Canis lupus familiaris: one gene and its partners. The protein of the gene in region 3 purifies or fractionates together with the protein of the main gene of each other region. This does not show direct contact. Links are inferred from orthologs where the notes say so. Each region holds a gene or a part of one and is shown on either strand. Other genes may lie near its edges. The genes, in order: BRPF3, ING4 and KAT7.

What was found.
Region 1: the proteins of KAT7 (region 3) and BRPF3 purify together in Homo sapiens (affinity purification with mass spectrometry; 3 studies listed by BioGRID and IntAct, counting the BioPlex papers as one, with this or other methods). This does not show direct contact. The link is inferred for Canis lupus familiaris from reciprocal best matches to the Homo sapiens genes KAT7 and BRPF3.
Region 2: the proteins of KAT7 (region 3) and ING4 purify together in Homo sapiens (affinity purification with western blotting; 6 studies listed by BioGRID and IntAct, with this or other methods). This does not show direct contact. The link is inferred for Canis lupus familiaris from reciprocal best matches to the Homo sapiens genes KAT7 and ING4.

Annotation. Positions count from the first base shown.
Region 1 is NC_049233.1:5,498,464-5,504,374, reverse strand, and holds part of BRPF3 (bromodomain and PHD finger-containing protein 3), read right to left. Parts: intron 3,339-5,911; coding exon 3,182-3,338; intron 629-3,181; coding exon 497-628; intron 1-496. UniProt on the Homo sapiens protein: Scaffold subunit of various histone acetyltransferase (HAT) complexes, such as the MOZ/MORF and HBO1 complexes, which have a histone H3 acetyltransferase activity.
Region 2 is NC_049248.1:7,720,081-7,726,691, reverse strand, and holds the start of ING4 (inhibitor of growth protein 4), read left to right. Parts: upstream 1-3,045; 5' UTR 3,046-3,098; coding exon 3,099-3,135; intron 3,136-3,214; exon of another isoform or gene 3,215-3,276; intron 3,277-6,491; coding exon 6,492-6,563; intron 6,564-6,611.
Region 3 is NC_049230.1:25,798,077-25,803,987, reverse strand, and holds part of KAT7 (histone acetyltransferase KAT7), read right to left. Parts: intron 5,411-5,911; coding exon 5,234-5,410; intron 3,637-5,233; coding exon 3,397-3,636; intron 1-3,396. UniProt on the Homo sapiens protein: Catalytic subunit of histone acetyltransferase HBO1 complexes, which specifically mediate acetylation of histone H3 at 'Lys-14' (H3K14ac), thereby regulating various processes, such as gene transcription, protein ubiquitination, immune regulation, stem cell pluripotent and self-renewal maintenance and embryonic development.

The DNA of each region.
Region 1 (5,911 bases), on a different chromosome or scaffold from region 3:
TAATCCAGTGCCACAGCTCATATTCCTAACCCCTGCATTACACTACCTTCCTCAACATTCCTCAGACTTAGATGCTTAGACCCTCCTTGGCTAGAGCTTGGAAAATTTAAATGATTAAGACCGTAAGTATTTTAAGGGCCAAGTGAAAACGCTCTCAGAAGCTCCCAGCAGTGATGACCATCAGAATGGCCTGAGAAACTTTTCAAAATACTTAACACCAGATTCCCTCTGAGATTTTGAGTCATAAATTCCAGGGATGGGGCCCAGGCAGATGATAATGAGCCTCCGCATGAGGCCACCAGAAGCTGAATCCGCAGTTAGAAGCCATGTGCAGCACCATACCCAGTACAGACTAGCAGGTCTTGGAGCCCACAGTGATGAGCAGGAAGGGGAGGAAGCAGACACCAGGCAGATCTCCTGGCTTTCTCCATGCCACACTGACAGTAGGAGAAAAAGATCTTGAACAAAAGCCCTGAGGCTGGGGGATCTTCCTCACCTGTTCCCTCTTGAGCTTCTCTCTTTTCCGAATCAGCTCAATCAGCAGCCGCGCCCGCTCCAAGTCGTGCCGGAGCTTCTGCCAGTATTTTAGCTCTTCCTTCACTGCACTTGTCTTCTCGTCCTGCTCTCGCTGCAGGAAGGAAGGGAGAGGAAGGAGTTGCTGGAGGCCCGCTTCCTGTCCAGAGCCCTTTCCCTATTCTAGCCTCACAGGGCCTCGGCAGGTAAGGGCCCCACACCCTGGCTGACCCATGTTCCTGAGAGCCCTTCTGCCCTCTCTGCCCCATGCCTTTCTCCTGCACTCCCTTAGCCTTCCAGCAATGCTTCTTAACTGCCCCACAATAAGCACCACTGGAGTGAGAGCTGGGACGACTTCCCCTCCTCCTGAGGATACCAAGGGGGGTGGTGGAGCTGTGCCCCTTAGGGCTGGAAAAGAATTTCAGAAGGAAACCAATACCTCGAGGTAGAAAGAATTTCATCCTAAAGCTGCCACTTGTCTAAAAAACAAAGTAAAATTCTTATTACCAGCTTGTACTAGCTGGCTTGAACATACTTTAAAACACTACAAGTACTCAAAAAAGTGATTCCTGCCCTAGAAAGAGGTTAGAGTTGGGGGAAGGAAGAGGCCCAGGGTTGGACACACAAGGGCACAGTAGCATAAACATAATAAAAACCCAAAGGTAAACTGAATATAAAATGTTGAGAAGATAAATAAAGAGGATCTGAGAGGGTTGATTTTAGGTCAGGGAAGGCTTCCCACAGAAGCAATCTTACTAGGATTTCACATGTAGTGATGGACATAGGTGAACAAAGCAGTAAGAAAGGCCTCTGCTAGAACCAAAGGGACCACAGGGAAGAAGTGTGAAGGCAGAAAAAAATGACTCTCTGCTTGGTAAAAAAAAAAAAAAGAAAGAAGAAAGAAAAAATGGCCCGGCCAGAGCAGAGAGGCTGGAGAACCACAGTAGCCAAGGAAGCTCCAGGATTTAGCTGGTAAGAAGCTTCAACTCCAGGCAAAGGAACCTGCATGTGGCCTGCCAGGAGAGGGGGACTATGTTCTGGAAAAGGAATAGATTCTGGAAAATGGTGTGTAAGACAGTATCAGTTGAACAGCAAAGAAAGAATTAGAGGCGGGAGACTACCCGAAAGCTATTGCTGAAATTATGGGAATTTGGGTGAGCGGGTGAGCTGTAGAATGGAGACAAAAGACCATATGCCAATAAACTGGCCCCAAATAGCATAAGGGATGATTAACTGTGTCTTGTTATGGAGGAAAGAATCAAAAGTAACTCCAAGATGGGGAATGTCTGAGGTCAGGAGGCAGAAGGTTCCATGTCAATAATGGGCAGGGGTGCCTGGGTGGCCACCCAGGCAGTTAAGTGTCCAGCTCTTGATTTTGGCTCAGGCCATGGTCTCGTGGGGTTGAGCTGCATGTCAGGCTCTGTGCTCAGTGGGGAGTCTGCTTAAGGACTCTCTCCCTCTGCCACTCCCTCTGCTCTCGCTCTCTCAAATAAATAAATCTTTAAAAAAAGAATAATAATGGAGAAATAAGTTTACCAAGAGGAAGAAAGATAAAGAATTCAGTTTCCGATATCTGAATTCTAGGAAACAACATCTACATGGACATCTGCAGTTCCTTTGCCCCAGAGGGACTACAGGCAGAGAAAAGGGATGAGGACAAGAAATCTGGAGCTATTACCACGCTTATTTACAACTATGAGAGTGCACGAGCTCTCCCAGCAAACGGGCAGGCATCAGAGCCCTGGGAATGTTACTACTGAGGAGTAACAGGTCAAGTCAGCACAAGGTGCAGTCAGCCAGGTGGAGAAGGAGGGATATGGGGTCATGGAGAAGCTCTAAGAGTGATCCATGGTGAAAATGCAGCCCATCGGCCACTACGGTGAGAATGTGAGGTAAGGCTTGCTGGGCTGGGAGGAGGTGGTTGACGTTCCAAAGGAGGCTACAGGGGAGCAGGCAATCCTCCCCACCTCAAGGAGGGAGGAGACACAGACTTACACTTCAGGACTTTAGTTACAAAAGGCAAAAGTGAAATCAGACAGAACTTAGAGGGCATCAGAGTCACGTAAATGATTGCTTCATCTTTGCGGTGATAGTGTGGAAATATTTAAAGGCAGAAGTAATGGAGCAAGTGAGGAGGGAGAAAAAACTAAAGACGGTTAAAAAAAGGGGAAAAAAAAAGTCTCTCAGGAGACCTCCAACCAAGGTTCCACGGCTAAAAGGTCACCACAACTGGCCAGGCTCTGTGCTACAACTTAGATGGCACATTTGCATGTTTTCTACAAAACATTTTCTGGCAGATGTCAGTACAGTGTCTTAAGAAAAATGCTCCTTGTCCTAATTTATGCAACATGGCCACCTGGCCCTCATTAAACCCATTTTTTCCTTTCTGCCATGTCTACAGGTTTTCCCCACATACTTGGAAGTTGGGCTTGCTCTCTACTCTCTTCTAGAATTTGCTCCAAAATCAACCCTCTCCCATCCAGGAGGAGCTGCTGTCTGGGACCAAGAGCTCTACAGTGCTGGAGGTCGTTCCTGGGAGATGCCATCTGGAAGTGTGACTGCCTATTGACACAAAGGCTCTACAGAGGGCTCAGGGAGTGGTGACCCAACCATCCCTCCTCCTCCTTCACTCTCCACCTCCTCCACCACCTTCAATCACTTCACCTACCTGCTCAGCATTTCTTTGGGACTGCAGGTGGGAATGCAGGCGTCGGATGAGAGGGACGCCGTTCCGTGCCTGCCGCTTCAATAGCCAATAGTTGTGAAGCCGCTGTATGAACTGGTTTTTCCTCTGAAAGGAGAGACCACTACAGATCTTGTTCAACCTTGAGTAGAGGCACAGGGAAGTGAAAGACAAGGTCAGTGGGCAGCCCTGATCACAGCCTCCTCTTCAGACCCTAGCTCATTTCTGAACCTTACATATGAAAGAAGATGGAATCAAGTGGCCAATTGCCTCACCTCAGAGAAAGGCTTTAAAAAAAGAAAGCAAAGTTAAGCAGCTCGGATTCAGCATGTGATAGATGTATCACTTGATTTTCCACCCCCCTATCTTACAGTCCTGATTCTCCAGAAGAACTCTCTCCCAGGAACCCTGTTTCCTGTGGTCCTAGACTCCTGGGAAATAGGCCTGTGCCCTGAACTCTTGATATAGGCAGGAAAAGAGAGCAGGAACTTGAGTAAGCTATGGGCAATGTGGTCACTACTTCCTGCGCCCTGTGGCTGAGGGTCCCCCCAGACCAGAGAATAGTCCACAAGCAAGCTGGAAGGAAAACTAGAAGTACGCCAGGCTATGGCTCTCTGAGCTCAAATGCAACACTTCAGAGCCGTCTGACCTCTGGTTTTTCATTAACGATCTCAGCAGCCTAAAAGTGTCTAATTTTGAAACAAACAAGAAAAGAAAAAACTGGATAAGAGGACGGAGAATCTGAAAACTTAGCTGGCTCAATTAACCCAATAGAGAAGTCTTAAGGTCAGGACTTAATAATATGTGGCAGGTGGGAGAGGTAGAGGCAAAAGGGGAGGGAATTAATAAGAGCCTATAATCTTTATCCTAATAGTCCTGTTGCAAGGTGGGTAACATCAGTCTCATGGTAACAAAAGATGGAAAGGCAGCTTAGGAACAGAGGCTGGATGAACTGTCAAAGTCACTAATGTGGCCAGAAGGATGGTGGAGCTGAATGGGATTTGAATCCGTGATCTCTCTGCTACAGCACCCTGTGTCCCCAAATTGGTTATTCACAGAGTAAGAGTAATAAGCAAGGCCTCAATACTCCTGTTGTGTGCCCCCCACTTTTTCTCTTCATCTCTATCCACTGAAAGGAAGTTAAGTGCCCTATGCATTTCCACAGACATTCTTGCCCCAAAGCCAAGCTTACAAAATCAAGATCTAAGCCTTTCCCCAAAGAAGAAATCCCCACCAATGCCCATGCCAAGCATACCTGCCCAGATGCAGGCAGCCCCCTCCCTCTATAACCTCTTGGCCATGGAGTGTCCCCCTAGCATTTGTGTAGGTAGAGAGAGGAAGAAGAAGAATAAAACAGCAGCAGCAGCCACCATTTATTGAGCGCTTACTATTTACCAGGCACTGTACCAAGTGCTTTATTTATATCATCTCCTTCATTTCTCACAACAACCCTATGAGGTTCATTTAGAAAGAAATAAGGCTCAAAGAAGTAACTTGCCAAAAGTCACACAGGTAGTTAGCAACAGGAGCAGGATTCAAAAGCAGGTTGGTCTGTTTTCTAAGCCAGCATGCTATGCTGACCCCTGTAAGACACATCTATCAGAGCAGATGTGACAACCAAAGAGACTAGTCCCAGGGCATAGCCACCCTACAAATGTTTCTAAGCATGGACCAACTCAACATCAGAGAAGAGCCTACAACAGCTCTGTGACTACAAGTCATTTCCAGTTGACTGAATTCTAATTCCAGCCATAGTTCGCCATAGGAGCCTCTCCCTCCTGCCCTTCTCTGCTCTTTTTCTCCTTCCCAGACTGACAAGTCTGGTTGCCTGTTCCCCTTACAACTCATTCCCTGCTACCCTCCAGCACTCACTTCTCCCTATCCTTTTCAACAAGAGAAGGCAAACAGCAGGAACAGAGACTGATGGCATCATGAGCCCCAGCTTGTGGTCAGGTTCTATAGCTTCCCACCTGGTTCCAGCCCTTTGAACAGGACTTGGCATATAGTAAGTACTCAATAAACACCTCAGTGAATGAACAAAGGCATGAACAACTTTACCTCCTGTGGCTGCAGATTCTTCATCTGGGGGTGTGGGAGAAGGTGCAAGGACTACATTAGATGAATAATTTCCAATATTCCTTTCTGCTCCAACACTGTATACTTTCTAAAGAATATCACCCTTGAGATGAGCTTCTACTGGAAAATCTTTCCAGTCTCTTGCTTTTCTGCCCTCCAACAGCTACTTCTCTGATGGTTAAAAATAAGTACAATGGTCTCTCTATAAGACTCACTGGGGACCAAGGTGGCTTAGCTATACAACTGAACCAAGTGATCCTTTCCCCTAAATCTAGAAGCTTCTCAAGAAGAGAAAGATCATGTCTTCCCCACACCACCACTCCCTCACACAAAGTCCCCATCATTCCCAGACAGAGCTTTCTGGACAGCAGTCGTGTGGTTCTCACTTCTATCACCACAGGAGGTTTTGGTAACATATGTGGGGAGTGTTTGAGACGGTCACAAAGACCAAGCAATGAGGGAGGGGATGCAAATGGCACTAACGGACAAAGATCAGGGATGCTAAACATTGAGGAATGTATGAGGCAGTCCTAATAGTGAAGAATTATCCTGTCTCAAATGTCACTTGTGCACCTGTTGAAAATATTGCCTTAGACACCCTTCACCTGGGTTTCTAAGCCACTTAACTGTCTCACCTTA
Region 2 (6,611 bases), on a different chromosome or scaffold from region 3:
GGGGTGGGGGTCAGACCCCCTTTATTTGTAAAGGGGCAAGGGCTGAGATGTGGTCCCCAAGGGGCCGGAGATCCCCAAAATGGTCAAGGGTGGCTTAGAAATGTGGGTTATCGTTTTCCTTGGAGCCTCTCCCCTTCTCTGCCAGCCAAAACCCTATACTCAGTCTCCCAATCCCAAAGCCAGAGGAGCTATGGGAGCTTTGTGTTCTTTATGAAAGCCCAAAACAAGGGGTGTTGCAGAGAAGGGAGAGTTCAGGGCAAACACAAGGACTGGACTTAGCTCCCTAGGTGCCACGGTCAGTTGCCGGACACGGATTTATATATAAATATATATATAAATATATATATATATACCCACTCATCACGGCCATCTTTGTTGTAACCATTTCTGTGTTTATAAATGCATTATCTCAGAATTTTCATATTTGATGTTTTATTTTTTTTTGTCCTTTTTGTTTTTCTCCACCCTGTCTTCTGGCCAACAGCATTTTTATTTCCTTTTGTCCTTATTTTTAAATCATGGCAGATTTCAGAGAAAAGAGAAAATGAAAAAAAAAATCAGGAAACCAGTTGTTATAAAGCAATTTAAAATGAAGAAAAAAAAACTTATGTACAAACCAAGGGGTGTTTTTAGAACCTTGTATAGAAATAAATTCGTGTAAAAGGATCAGAGGCAGTGGAGCTGCTGATGTGAGCGAGCATGGGAAGAAGATACCTGGGGAGATGTTCAAGGATTTACACTAGAATGTGTGTATGTGAAGAATGAATGCTGTTTGATGAGGCTCTATGTGTGTATCCCCAAATGTGGAAGGGAAAGCTTTGGTACTTCCAAGTGAGATCTTGGTTTATGAGGATTTCTTTCTTTCTTTTTAAAGATTTTATATATTCATGAGAGGCAGAGACACAGGCAGAGGGGGAAGCAGGCTCCATGCAGGGAGCCTGATGTGGGACTCCATGATCATGCCCTGGGCTGAATGCAGGCGCTAAACCGCTGAGCCACCCAGGAATTCCCAGTTTATGAGGGTTTCTAAAATCTTGTTTGTGGCCTGCAATGCCTACATATTATGAGAGCAAGATTTCAATCGTGTTAATAAACCACTAAGCTCCCCATTAAAGAAATGGAAGCGTGCTCTCTTGAAAGGGCCTATACTCCTGCCTGAGCATCACCAGGCTCAGTGCTAATTCCAGCTGGCACAGTGTGCATACATTTGTTATCCATATCCATAGGTTTGCAATGATGGAAGCCATAACCAGAACTGAGTAACAATGCAGGACAGTCGTGCTGAGAAGTAGAAGTAGTCAGGAAACCTCAACTTTTCAGCCCTGGCTCTACTGCCAACCAGTGGTCACTGAGAGGCGTCCAAGACTAGATAGCCTCCAAGGTTCATTTTGGGATATTAAAAGCCATTAAGCACTGAAAAGGTTGACAAAGCTCTAACATTGACTCACATGGCTGTCTTCTGTATACTGCTGGGCAACCATGCCCATTACCAAGAAGAATGTGGATAGTCCATGAAATCATGCCTACTTAAGTTTTGGGCTCAGCTGGTCTCTTGGGTATTGAGGCATCCAATACCTCTCAATCTGCAGTGTGAGTCTAATGAATGTATTACCTGAGACGAAATCTGTCAATGTCTTGCTAGCTTCTGAATACTTTTTTCCCCCTGCTCTTCATCAATCACTGAAAATGCCCTGACAGCCCTGTCTTCACCACAGGTAATAGAACCAGAATCTACTAAAGGATTCACTCACAATCATTGCAAGAACTCTATGAGGTAGGTACTACTAGTCTCCATTTTACAGAGCAGGACATAAGCACAGAAGTTTACCATATCCGGGGTCAAGACACTTGGAGTGAAGTCTTCTAGATCCAACTACTGCATCCTACCACTAAACCTGAGATTTCATCTTATCCTTCTTCACACTTTTGGCCCAAATCAGGTGGCTGAAAAATCTTTCATTAAAACGTTGCCTTGTGGCATTGACAACAGTCACGAATATGTGAGTTAGGAAGGACAACAGCCTCCAAAAGCTTTCTTACTAATACCACTATTAGGCTATGGGCTTTGAGCTGCTTCTCCAGTGTGGTGGCAGCCTGTCAGGCTCTGGACTGGTTTCCGTCCCCATATAGAGACCTCACTGTACCCTAGTGGAGCCCATCCTGGTACCCATCCTAGTACCAGGATGGGAGCTGGCCCGGTTGTGACAGCCATGGTGCTAGTTAACATCAGATATAAACTGGAAAACAAAAACAGCGGAAGGGTGGCGGGGGGGGTGGGGGGTGGGGGGTGGTGGTGGTGGTGGAAGTATAAGAAAAGAAGAGGGCAAGGCTGGAAGTACTATGTCACTTTATACGAGAATGTAATCAAAGATAAAAGGCCAGGAACCCTGGCAAGAGTCTTGGAGAATTACAGCTTTATTGTGTAAGGCTTAGTATGTAGATTTTATAAACAATTATTTTTTTTCCATGTTAAAAAAATTATCCCGGTGAGCTGACGCTCAGGCGAGTGAACAGAAATGCGAATGGTTTCAATCTCGCAGCACCAGCTAGGCCTCTCCAACTTCGTTAAGATACTAGCTACCTTGAAGGAAGTCTTGGCTCAGCCAGGACCTGCTGTGGTCATTAGATTAATATCCTGTAAAAAGGAGAAGAGTCCCCATTCGCTAAAAAGCGGTATTTCTGGACCACAATCCTAAAGAGACGGGGGTGGGGGCGGTGGGGGTGGGTGGGATGAGGGTTGGTTTCCCATCATAACCCCACATCTCCGTTTTGGAGGGAAAAAAAAAAAAGTTTGATAGGGAATGCAAAATGGCGACCCGCAGTGACGTCATGCCTGCCTCGGTCGCGTACCGGGGCCTCAGTAAGGGCGGAAGCGGGCTAGAGCCACCTCAGGGCGCCTCGGCACCCGCAGCCCCGGCTACCTACGCAAAAGGGAAAGTTTTAACGTCGGGCGGATGTGTCCCCGCGGATAATTGACTGAGGGCGGAAGCTCTCCTTTTAAGGGCGGAAAGGCTCCAACCCACGGATAATAGCTTCAGCGCCTGTTGCGTTTCAGTCACTTCCGGGGCGGATCGGAAGTTGCTTTGTTTTGCTTCAAGATGGCTGCGGGGATGTATTTGGAACATTATCTGGACAGTAAGAGCAGGCTGGAGGAGGGGGTCAGGGGTCATAGAGTGGTGGGGGGGGGGTCGGGGCTGAGCTGCTGTACGGCCCCGAAGTCCCGGTGGTCAGAAAGTCCCAATTGTGAAGGGGTTCCGTGAAAGAAAATATTGAAGGGTGTGAAGAAAGAGGGGGCGGGGCAGCAGGGTCGAGGCCTGGCTTTTGGGTGTAGACGAGGGAGGGGCTGCGCGGTAGGGCTGAGGGGGGTGTCTCTTGAGGGGCTAATGGGCAGAGCCGGGAAGGTATTTGCCGACCCCATCTCCAGGGTCTCCAGCCTCAGGATATCCATCCCCCCAACCCCCCCCCCCCAATCCTTCAGGATCGGTCGTTTTAGTGTATCACCCACTGCCATTTGGAGCAGTGCCAAAGACTTGCTCGCAGCTTCTCTGCTCTGTTCTTTCTCAGAAACGGTTTTTCAGTGGGGATCGGGGGTGGTTAGTGACTACTGTCAGATGATAAACTGGAACGCTTCTCTTCTTCCAATTCCTACCAAATGGAAATCTGGTGCTACGCTTATGCCATTTGTGTAACCCACCCCTTCACAAAGCCTGTCACCCTTATGCGCTTACATTTGTCTTAGTATTGAGAGTCATTCATTCATTCATTTATTGAGGCCTTGCTCTGGGTCAGACATAATGGCAAGTACTGCGGAGATACCAAAATGATGACACAGACCCTGCCCTCCAGTGCTTATAGTTTAGGAGGAAACAGATTCTGCTAATCAATAATTATAAAACTGACAAGTGAAATAATAGAAGTACATTACAAGGACAGTTGGTAGCACTGGAGAAAGAGGGGCAAATTACTTGGGGACGTAGGTAAAACTTTACCAGAGGATGTGATGTTTGAATAGAGTTTTGAAGATCGAGTGTTTGCCAGTGTGAAGAAAGAAAGGAAACTGCTGGTTGGGGAAAGCATCAGCAAAGGTATTGTGGTGGGTTTGTGGCAGGTCAAGGAATAGTGAAGTCAGTGCTTGCTGTATAGGACTCTTAAGGTGGACGATTGGCAAGTGAGCCTGGAGAAGGAGGTGGGAGCTAGGTTGTGCAAGGTCTTTTAAGCCAAGCTAAGAGGCTTGCACACTGTAGATAGTCAGGAACCAACAGATTTTAAAAACAGGTTTCAATAAAGGAAAATAACTGATGTATGGTAAGTTCAGGTCTCAGAGAGTGACCGAAGTCTTTAGGAGCTAAAGGGACAGATGAAATGGCTGGGTAGTTGAGAGAGAAGGAAGAATACAAAGTGCCTCCTTGATTTCCTGCTTGGGAGGTGAGGTAGATAGGATACCTTCAGCAAGATAGGGAATTCAGGAGTAACAGCAATACACCTAACTCAATTTAAACTTAAGCACAGGCATGGCGATTGTATGAGAGTGAATGAGATCGAGATCATTCAGGGAATACAAGCAAAGTGGGAAATGAGAGGGTTAAAGTATAGGCCCAAGAAAACATTAGCATTTAAGGGACAGGCTAGCAAAACGTCACTGTTGGAATTATCAGAAAGTATAGGGTGAGATTTGGAATCCTAAGAGGAAGAAAGTTACTGAAGGACAGAAGATGGTGCCAACTGCTGCAGATGTATTTTTTAAGATAGGACATATAAAAGATCATTTGTTTTGGAGCTATTTTATTTTTTTTTTATCTTTTTTTTTAAAAATTTTTTTTTTATTTATTTATGATAGAGAGAGAGAGAGAGAGAGAGAGGGAGAGGCAGAGACATAAGCAGAGGGAGAAGCAGGCTCCATGCACCGGGAGCCTGACGTGGGATTCGATCCCGGGTCTCCAGGATCGCGCCCTGGGCCAAAGGCAGGCGCCAAACCGCTGCGCCACCCAGGGATCCCTGGAGCTATTTTAGAAGTTTGAAATGCTGTCATGGGAAGAGATTTTTTCTTTTATGGAGAGACTTAAGTATATATGTCTTTATTCAGGTATTTATTGAAGACCCTCTGTACTCGAGTCATAGTAAAATGAGAGAGAAGCTAGATGTGTCCAGTCCTTTTGGAGGGTCAGGGAGATAGATACCAAATAACCAGCAGTCCTTCTGGAGGGTTAGGGAGATAGATACCAAATAACCGGTTACACAACTAATTCCTTAACCACAGCTGGATAAGTGCCCAAAAGGGTAGAGCTAGAATAACTTGACAGCATAATCCAGGGCACTTGGAGTCTGGAGAAGTCAGAGTTGAGCTGAACTTTGAAGAATGAACAGGAATTCAGTAGGAAAAGAGGTATGGTGGAGGTGGGATGAAGAACACCAAGCAGTGCATTCTGGACAGAGAAGGCAGTGCTTGGAAAGCTGGGGAGCAGGATGAGCCCTGGCAGGTTGAGGGCACTCAGAGAAGGCCAGCATGATTAGAGCAGACGGCACACAGGGGGATTGACCTGAATCAAGGCTGGAGTAAGGTGAGCATGGGGCAGAAAGTACAAAATAGGAACAGGAATTGTGTGATAGAAGTTATTAGTTATAAAAGCAAAGAGGGGGACTTGGTGAGATTTGCATTTTTTTAAGAGAACATTCTGACTACTATATAGAAAAGAGATTAGAAGTATGCGTGTGTGATGAGTGGAAGGTTCCACTCATCAGATACCAGGTAGGTATCTGGATTGCGGGGAAGGAGCTTGGAGGAATACAAGATTGAGGGCAAGGAGCTTGGAGGAGTACAAGAAAAGGAGGGACTGATTGGTAAAGTAAGGTCACTGAAGGGGCAAGTGATGGGAAAGCTGTAAAGAGGTGGCAGAGTTAATTGTGCAGAGATGCAAACACAGCCTCCACTGACAAAGCAATGATGGGTGCTGTTCCAGATAAATCCAACTGTTCCAAGGAAGGGAAACTGAGTCCCACTGGACCTGTACTTTAAAAGCAGCTATCCCAGGATCCCTGGGTGGCTCAGCAGTTTGGCGCCTGCCTTCGGCCCAGGGTGTGATCTTGGAGTCCCCAGATCAAGCCCCACGTCAGGCTCCCTGCATGGAGCCTGCTTCTCCCTCTGCCTGTGTCTCTGCCTCTCTCTCTGTGTGTCTCTCATGAATAAATAAATAAAATCTTTTAAAAATAGGGGATCCCTGGGTGGCGCAGCGGTTTGGCGCCTGCCTTTGGTCCAGGGCGCGATCCTGGAGACCCGGGATCGAATCCCGCGTCGGGCTCCCGGTGCATGGAGGCTGCTTCTCCCTCTGCCTGTGTCTCTGCCTCTCTCTCTCTCTCTCTCTCTCTCTCTCTGTGACTATCATAAATAAATAAAAATTAAAAAAAATATGTTTAAAAAAAAAAAAAGAAAAATAAAATAAAATCAGCTATCAGGCCTATGAAGTGCCATGATTCTCAGTTTTTCTTCTCCCTAGGTATCGAAAACCTTCCCTTCGAACTGCAGAGAAACTTTCAGCTCATGAGGGACCTGGACCAAAGAACAGAGGGTATGTATAGAGTAGGGATTTTGAGTGTATAATGAGATTGTACGATCA
Region 3 (5,911 bases):
AATCATTATATTGTACACCTAAAACTAAACACTGAAATAAATAGGAAGTTACCACAAGGCACTCTTATTGAGAGGACATTAATAGCAATAATATAGAAAGCTCATTTTATCTAAGGGATATACCTCTTCACTTTTCTATTTTTCATGTGGTTTTGGGAAACACAGAGGGAACTGAACATTATTTCCTTTTTATAAGTTTCTTTAACCAAAGGGTTTACAAAACTTCTGGTTAATGAAGACAGCGGGATTTAAAAAATCATATGGGATTTAAAAAGTCATACATGATTTAGAGTAAGCTTTAAAGAATGAAAATAATTCACATATTGGGGGAGAAAGGAATCAATACATGATATGTAGATTGCCATTTCTCCAGGACTATATTATTAAAAATGTGATTTTTGGAGATCCATTCAATTTATCTTGCATAGAAAAAACTACCCTCAGTAATCCAACATCATTATAAAATGTAAAGTGTCAATGTTATAGAAACCCTCCTTTTTCTATAGATATTTCTTAGACATACTTCTATAGATATTTCTAAAATATTATGTATCTATAACTTCTGGGTAAATTATTCAAGTCATGTCTTATTTTAGAATATATGAACTAAAACCAATTTAATGTGTCTATATTAAAAGTGTTAAAAAGGAACAGTTAATTTATTGATCTAGCAATTCTGCTATAAATTTATTCCTACAGGTTTTCTAGCAAGACACTAAAATACATACATATAATGCTTCCATTACAGTATTATTCAAAATAGATAAAATGAGAAATAATCTAAATGTCAATCCATACTGGACAATTTTAAAAATTTATAAACTATGGGATGCTTGGGTGGCTCAGTGGTTTAGTGCCTGCTTCTGGCCCAGGGCGTGATCCTGGAGACCCGGGATCTAGTCCCACATCGGGTTTTCTGCATGGAGCCTGCTTCTCCCTCTGCCTGGGTCTCTACCTCTCTCTCTCTCTCATTCTCTCTCTCTCTCTCTCATGAATAAATAAAATCTTTATTAAAAAATAAAAATATAAAATTTATAAACTATCAATGTAATGAATTCTCTGTATTCTTTAAACAGATGGAACCCTAAGTATCTTTTTTTTTTTTTTTTAAAGATTTTATTTATTCATGAGAGACAGAGAGAGAGAGAGAGAGAGAGAGAGGTGGAGACACAGGAAGAGGGAGAAGCAGGCTCCACGCAAGGAGCCTGATGTCCGACTCGATCCCGGGACTCTGGATTATGCCCTGAGCCGAACGCAGATGCTCAACCACTGAGCCACGCAGGCATCCCAGTAAAGTAAAATATCTAAGATGCGAAACCAACCATTATATTTTCCCTTTTGCGATAACACAAAAGAAATATATATATATATATATATATATATATATATATATATATATATGTGTGTGTGTGTATAAATGTGTTACACACACATGCACACTTGCTAGAACCATTCATAAAAAACCCCCAAGAATAATTTTATATCTGGCGATATGAATAAAGGAAAACTTTTACTTATGCATTTCAAGGCTCCCTGTAGGGTTTTCAGTTTTCACAGGCACAGAATACTTTTACACCAAAATTATTTTTAAAAATTAATGACATTAAAAAAAAAATTAATGACATTATTTTGCTGAACATAAAGAGTGGAACAGGATCAAAGACAATTTCAGCAATGGATTTTTTTTTTTAATTCAGTAATCTCTATGCCCAACAACATGGGGCTTGAATTCATGATCCTAAAATTGAGTTGCATGCTCCAAGCCAGCCAGGCACCCCTTATCAAAAAATAATTTTGGAAGTTCAGGTTCATATGTTTCAAACTTTGCCAGTATATTAATACGAGAAGTCAAAGTAAACTTTCCTCTGATGCAACAGATTTATATTTATCCTTTCATCTACTCCAAGGAGGTTAAGGACTGAGCATAAATAACATACCGTCAGGTCCAACGCAGACCTCATCTCCTCCTATCCATTCTGGTTGCTCTGTCCTAGGCATATTGGCCCGTAAGTGTGCTTCAAACTGCTTAAGCATTCTTGTGTCCCATACCCTTACCACCTGTTTGTGTGTGTATGGTTTGTATATATGCACAATACCTTACCCTCTCAGCACTCCCTCATTTTCCTTCAAGGAAGTATCTCTAAGCTGACGTATTATGTATCCACCTGTCTTGCCTTTCCCAATTAGACTATAAGCTCCATGACAGTAGGAACTTTGTTTGACATGTTCACAGCTACACCCCCAGAAACTCAAACGGTGTCTGGTATGTGGCAAACAGAGTACATAAAAGTAACAATTTAGGGAAGCATGGATAGTGACTAGCAGAGCTTGAGTCTCTTCCCTTGCCATATGAAAAGTAGATCCCCTTACCATCTTAAAGTACATTAGCTAGCTCTTAAATACTAATGTTTATATGATGATGTCTATTCTTAGTTTTTCATCATTTACCCAAGGATACTGATTTAGGCCTGAAACAATTCTTTTCTTTGAGTGATGACTGGTGTGATGGTTTAGGGGAACTTATTATATACTCTATGCATTCTGAGGAGTTGAAATTATCTGAGAGAGTGGTGCGAAGACCAGGAAAAGATCCAGATAAATTAAATGCTAGGGAAAACATACTGTGGGCCTGCAAAGCAACAGCTTACTCTGCTCTTTTTTCTGAACCTGATGGTCAGGTTGAAAAGTTCACAGATTTGAGAAGCAGACTCAGTGGAGAAAAGCCTATAATGTCAATCAGTGCCTTCCAACTCTAGACAAAAACTTAAGCCCAACACTTGGAATGAAGCTCACTTAAGGAGCGTTAATAAGGTTTAAACCATCATAAGAATCTGTCAGTAAAAGGTAAAGGTCATAAAAAAAAAACACTGAGATACTCATTTATCTGAGAAGAGATACTTGTCTGGTTTATATTTATCAAATATAGAAGACCTACAACCACCAAAGTCACAAAAGACCAGGGTCTCATCTGTGCCCTTTTAGTTTCATGGCCGTGCAAGAAGAAATCTGTTTTTCTCATTTCCTTATCAGCTCTAACCATACAACCAATATTCTGCATTAAGCTCAAACTATGTACCACACAACAAGCCATTTTGAAGATAACTGGTCTTCGGTTTTATTTTTGCAGGAAAGAGGAGGAAATTTTCACAGGGAGCTTTCAATAAACTGGTGGGTGCATCCCACTTAATGTCCTTGCAACCAGATCTATTCTTATTGACAACAGACCAAGAAGCAAAAATACTTCTTGTTTGAGTGGGCAACCCAGTTGATATTCTGAGCACCACTGAAGAACCTAAAGAGCTAGATCACAAGAGAAGATGAAACATTTCTTCATGATCCTAATTTCAGAGGGCAAAAACCATAGAACACAGGTGTCAGAAAGCTGGTCACACTCACCTAGGGAGTTACAGCCTGGAGTAGGACACTTCATATTGAAATTGTAGCTTTCATGGAAGCGACGGCGCTTGGGACGATGAGAGAGATCGCTGCCTGAGTCCTTCAGGGACATGTCCTTGGCAATGCTCTCATCATGAGACACGTTGGGGCTGGAGATGTCTATGTCAGACTCAGAAGAAGGGGCATTTCCAGTTGGAGTTCGAGGTGGAGACTCATCATGATCAGCTGTATTTTTAGTTTCTAAAGCAAAGCAATTGGGAGAGCTCATAAATGGGGTTCATTTAGAGGTTTACTATTCAGAAGAGTTTATGGCTATCATTTAACCAGTGACTTTTAACCACTTATCTGCTATAAAGCTACTAGGAAAATGAAATTAACATCATTCTTTTGTGCTACTTTACATCCTAAGTAAAATCCAGTTTTTGGGGTTTACCTAATATATTTCACTTATCTGTGCTTCTCATAAGCCCCCCATCACAGGTAATCAAAACTGGATGGAAGTAAATTTTTCTTTAAAATGACTATCCAACTCTCCTTCCAGGAGACACACAGGATGGAAGAGAAATGAAAACAGGTGTCCTCCTTGATGACTGACTTGGTGTGAGTGTGAACGAACCTGACTCTTGAGCTAGCGTGTCAGTAATCTAACAATTCAGATTGTAAATCATGGGTTGTAAACCAAATGCCTACACTTGCTGGGCAAGGCCAAATAGAGAACCAACTGTCCACCTTAAGGAGACAACTACTTTTCCACTCCAGTAATCAATGCTGTGAGTGAATGGCCACCACACGTTCCCAGAGTTTCCAGTTTTTAAAAGAAACTAGTGGGATCCCTGGGTGGCGCAGCGGTTTGGCGCCTGCCTTTGGCCCAGGGCGCGGTCCTGGAGACCCGGGATCGAATCCCACGTCGGGCTCCCGGTGCATGGAGCCTGCTTCTCCCTCTGCCTGTGTCTCTGCCTCTCTCTCTCTCACTGTGTGCCTATCATAAATAAATAAAAGTTTAAAAAAATTTAAAAAAAAAAAAAAAAAAAAAAAAAAAAAAAAAAAAAAAAAAAAAAAAAAAAAAAAAAAAAAAAAAAAAAAAGAAACTAGTAACCCAGGTTTTTATGTTTTGATGTGAAATTCCCTATTTTCAAATGTTGGCAACAAACTTCTAAAAATGTAAACACTGAAGCACCTAAGAGGCACAGTGGCTTAAGCGTCCAACTCTTGGTTTTGGCTCAAGTCATGATCTTGGGAGTCCTGAGAACAAGCCCCACCTTGGGCTCCGCTCAACATGAATCTGTTGGTACCTCTCCCTCTCCTTCTGCCCCCCACCATCTCTGCCTCTAAAATAAATAAATAAATTAAAAAAAAAAAAAAAAAAGGTAAACGTTGTGCAAGCAAACTAACAGAGCATATTGGCAGGCTATATGCTCCTCAGTCTGTAATTGCTGCTCTAAGGCCTAATTTGGGCTGGTCAATCACAATCTCAACAGCTCACCATCCCTCATTACCAAAGATCACTCCTCCTCAAAAAACAGAGATAAGTGGACTGACAAGCATGACTTTAAGAAAATGTGGTTCAAACTTTCTTCATCTATAGGTAAAAGGGCTCCAGTTCCTTTTGCCTATTATGGGTCCAATCTAATAATTTAATTACTCTAGTCTTCAAGAGTACTCTAATACAAAACTATCCTCAGTGAGATATTCAAGAAAGCAATCAGGTAAACAGCATTTACCTAGCTGAATTTGGTCAGTATAAAGCATCTATCTGCAGAGTGGCCCCAAGCCTTCCTTAAGAGAAAATTGACCAGATCTTCTCTGTAATTGATCAAATCATCCCATACTCACTCACCTCTATCTGAAAAGTCAACCACTTGCTCTGTTTCTGAGCCAGACGAACGAGTCTGACGAAGGGGGTATTTTTTCGGAGTCACTGGGGTAGGCTGTTGCTGACTACGGGTCACTCTTCTGGTAGAATAAGCAGGCTCCTCAGTGCCAAAAGATTGCAAATTTCGAACAGGACTGGAATCTGATCCCCAATTTTAAGAGATAATAAAACAATTAGAGAAGAAGGAAATTTGGGTTTTATTATCCATATGATTTATTAGCTGTATACCCTCCTCTTTATGCCTCAGAAAATCTGACAAATAGGTAAAATACCTATTTTATTAAATAAAATATAAGCTAAAGGGCCAAGATCAGGTATAGAGGTACAAAATAGTATAGAATAGGGATGCCTGGGTGGCTCAGTGGTTGAGCGTCTGCCTTTGGCTCAGGGCGTGATCCCAGGATCTGTTATCGAGTCCCACATCGAGCTCCTTGCAGGGAGCCTGCTTCTCCCTCTGCCTATGTTTCTGCCCCCTTCTCTCTCTTTCTGCGTCTCTCATGAATAAAAATTATTTTTTAAATATATAGTATAGAATAGTTTAGCTCCTGGAATCAAGACTCTCATTCAATTCCACTCCACCATACCAACTAGCTATAGCATTTTGGGCAAGTTCATCTCTTCAAGCCTTTGTCCTGATCTATA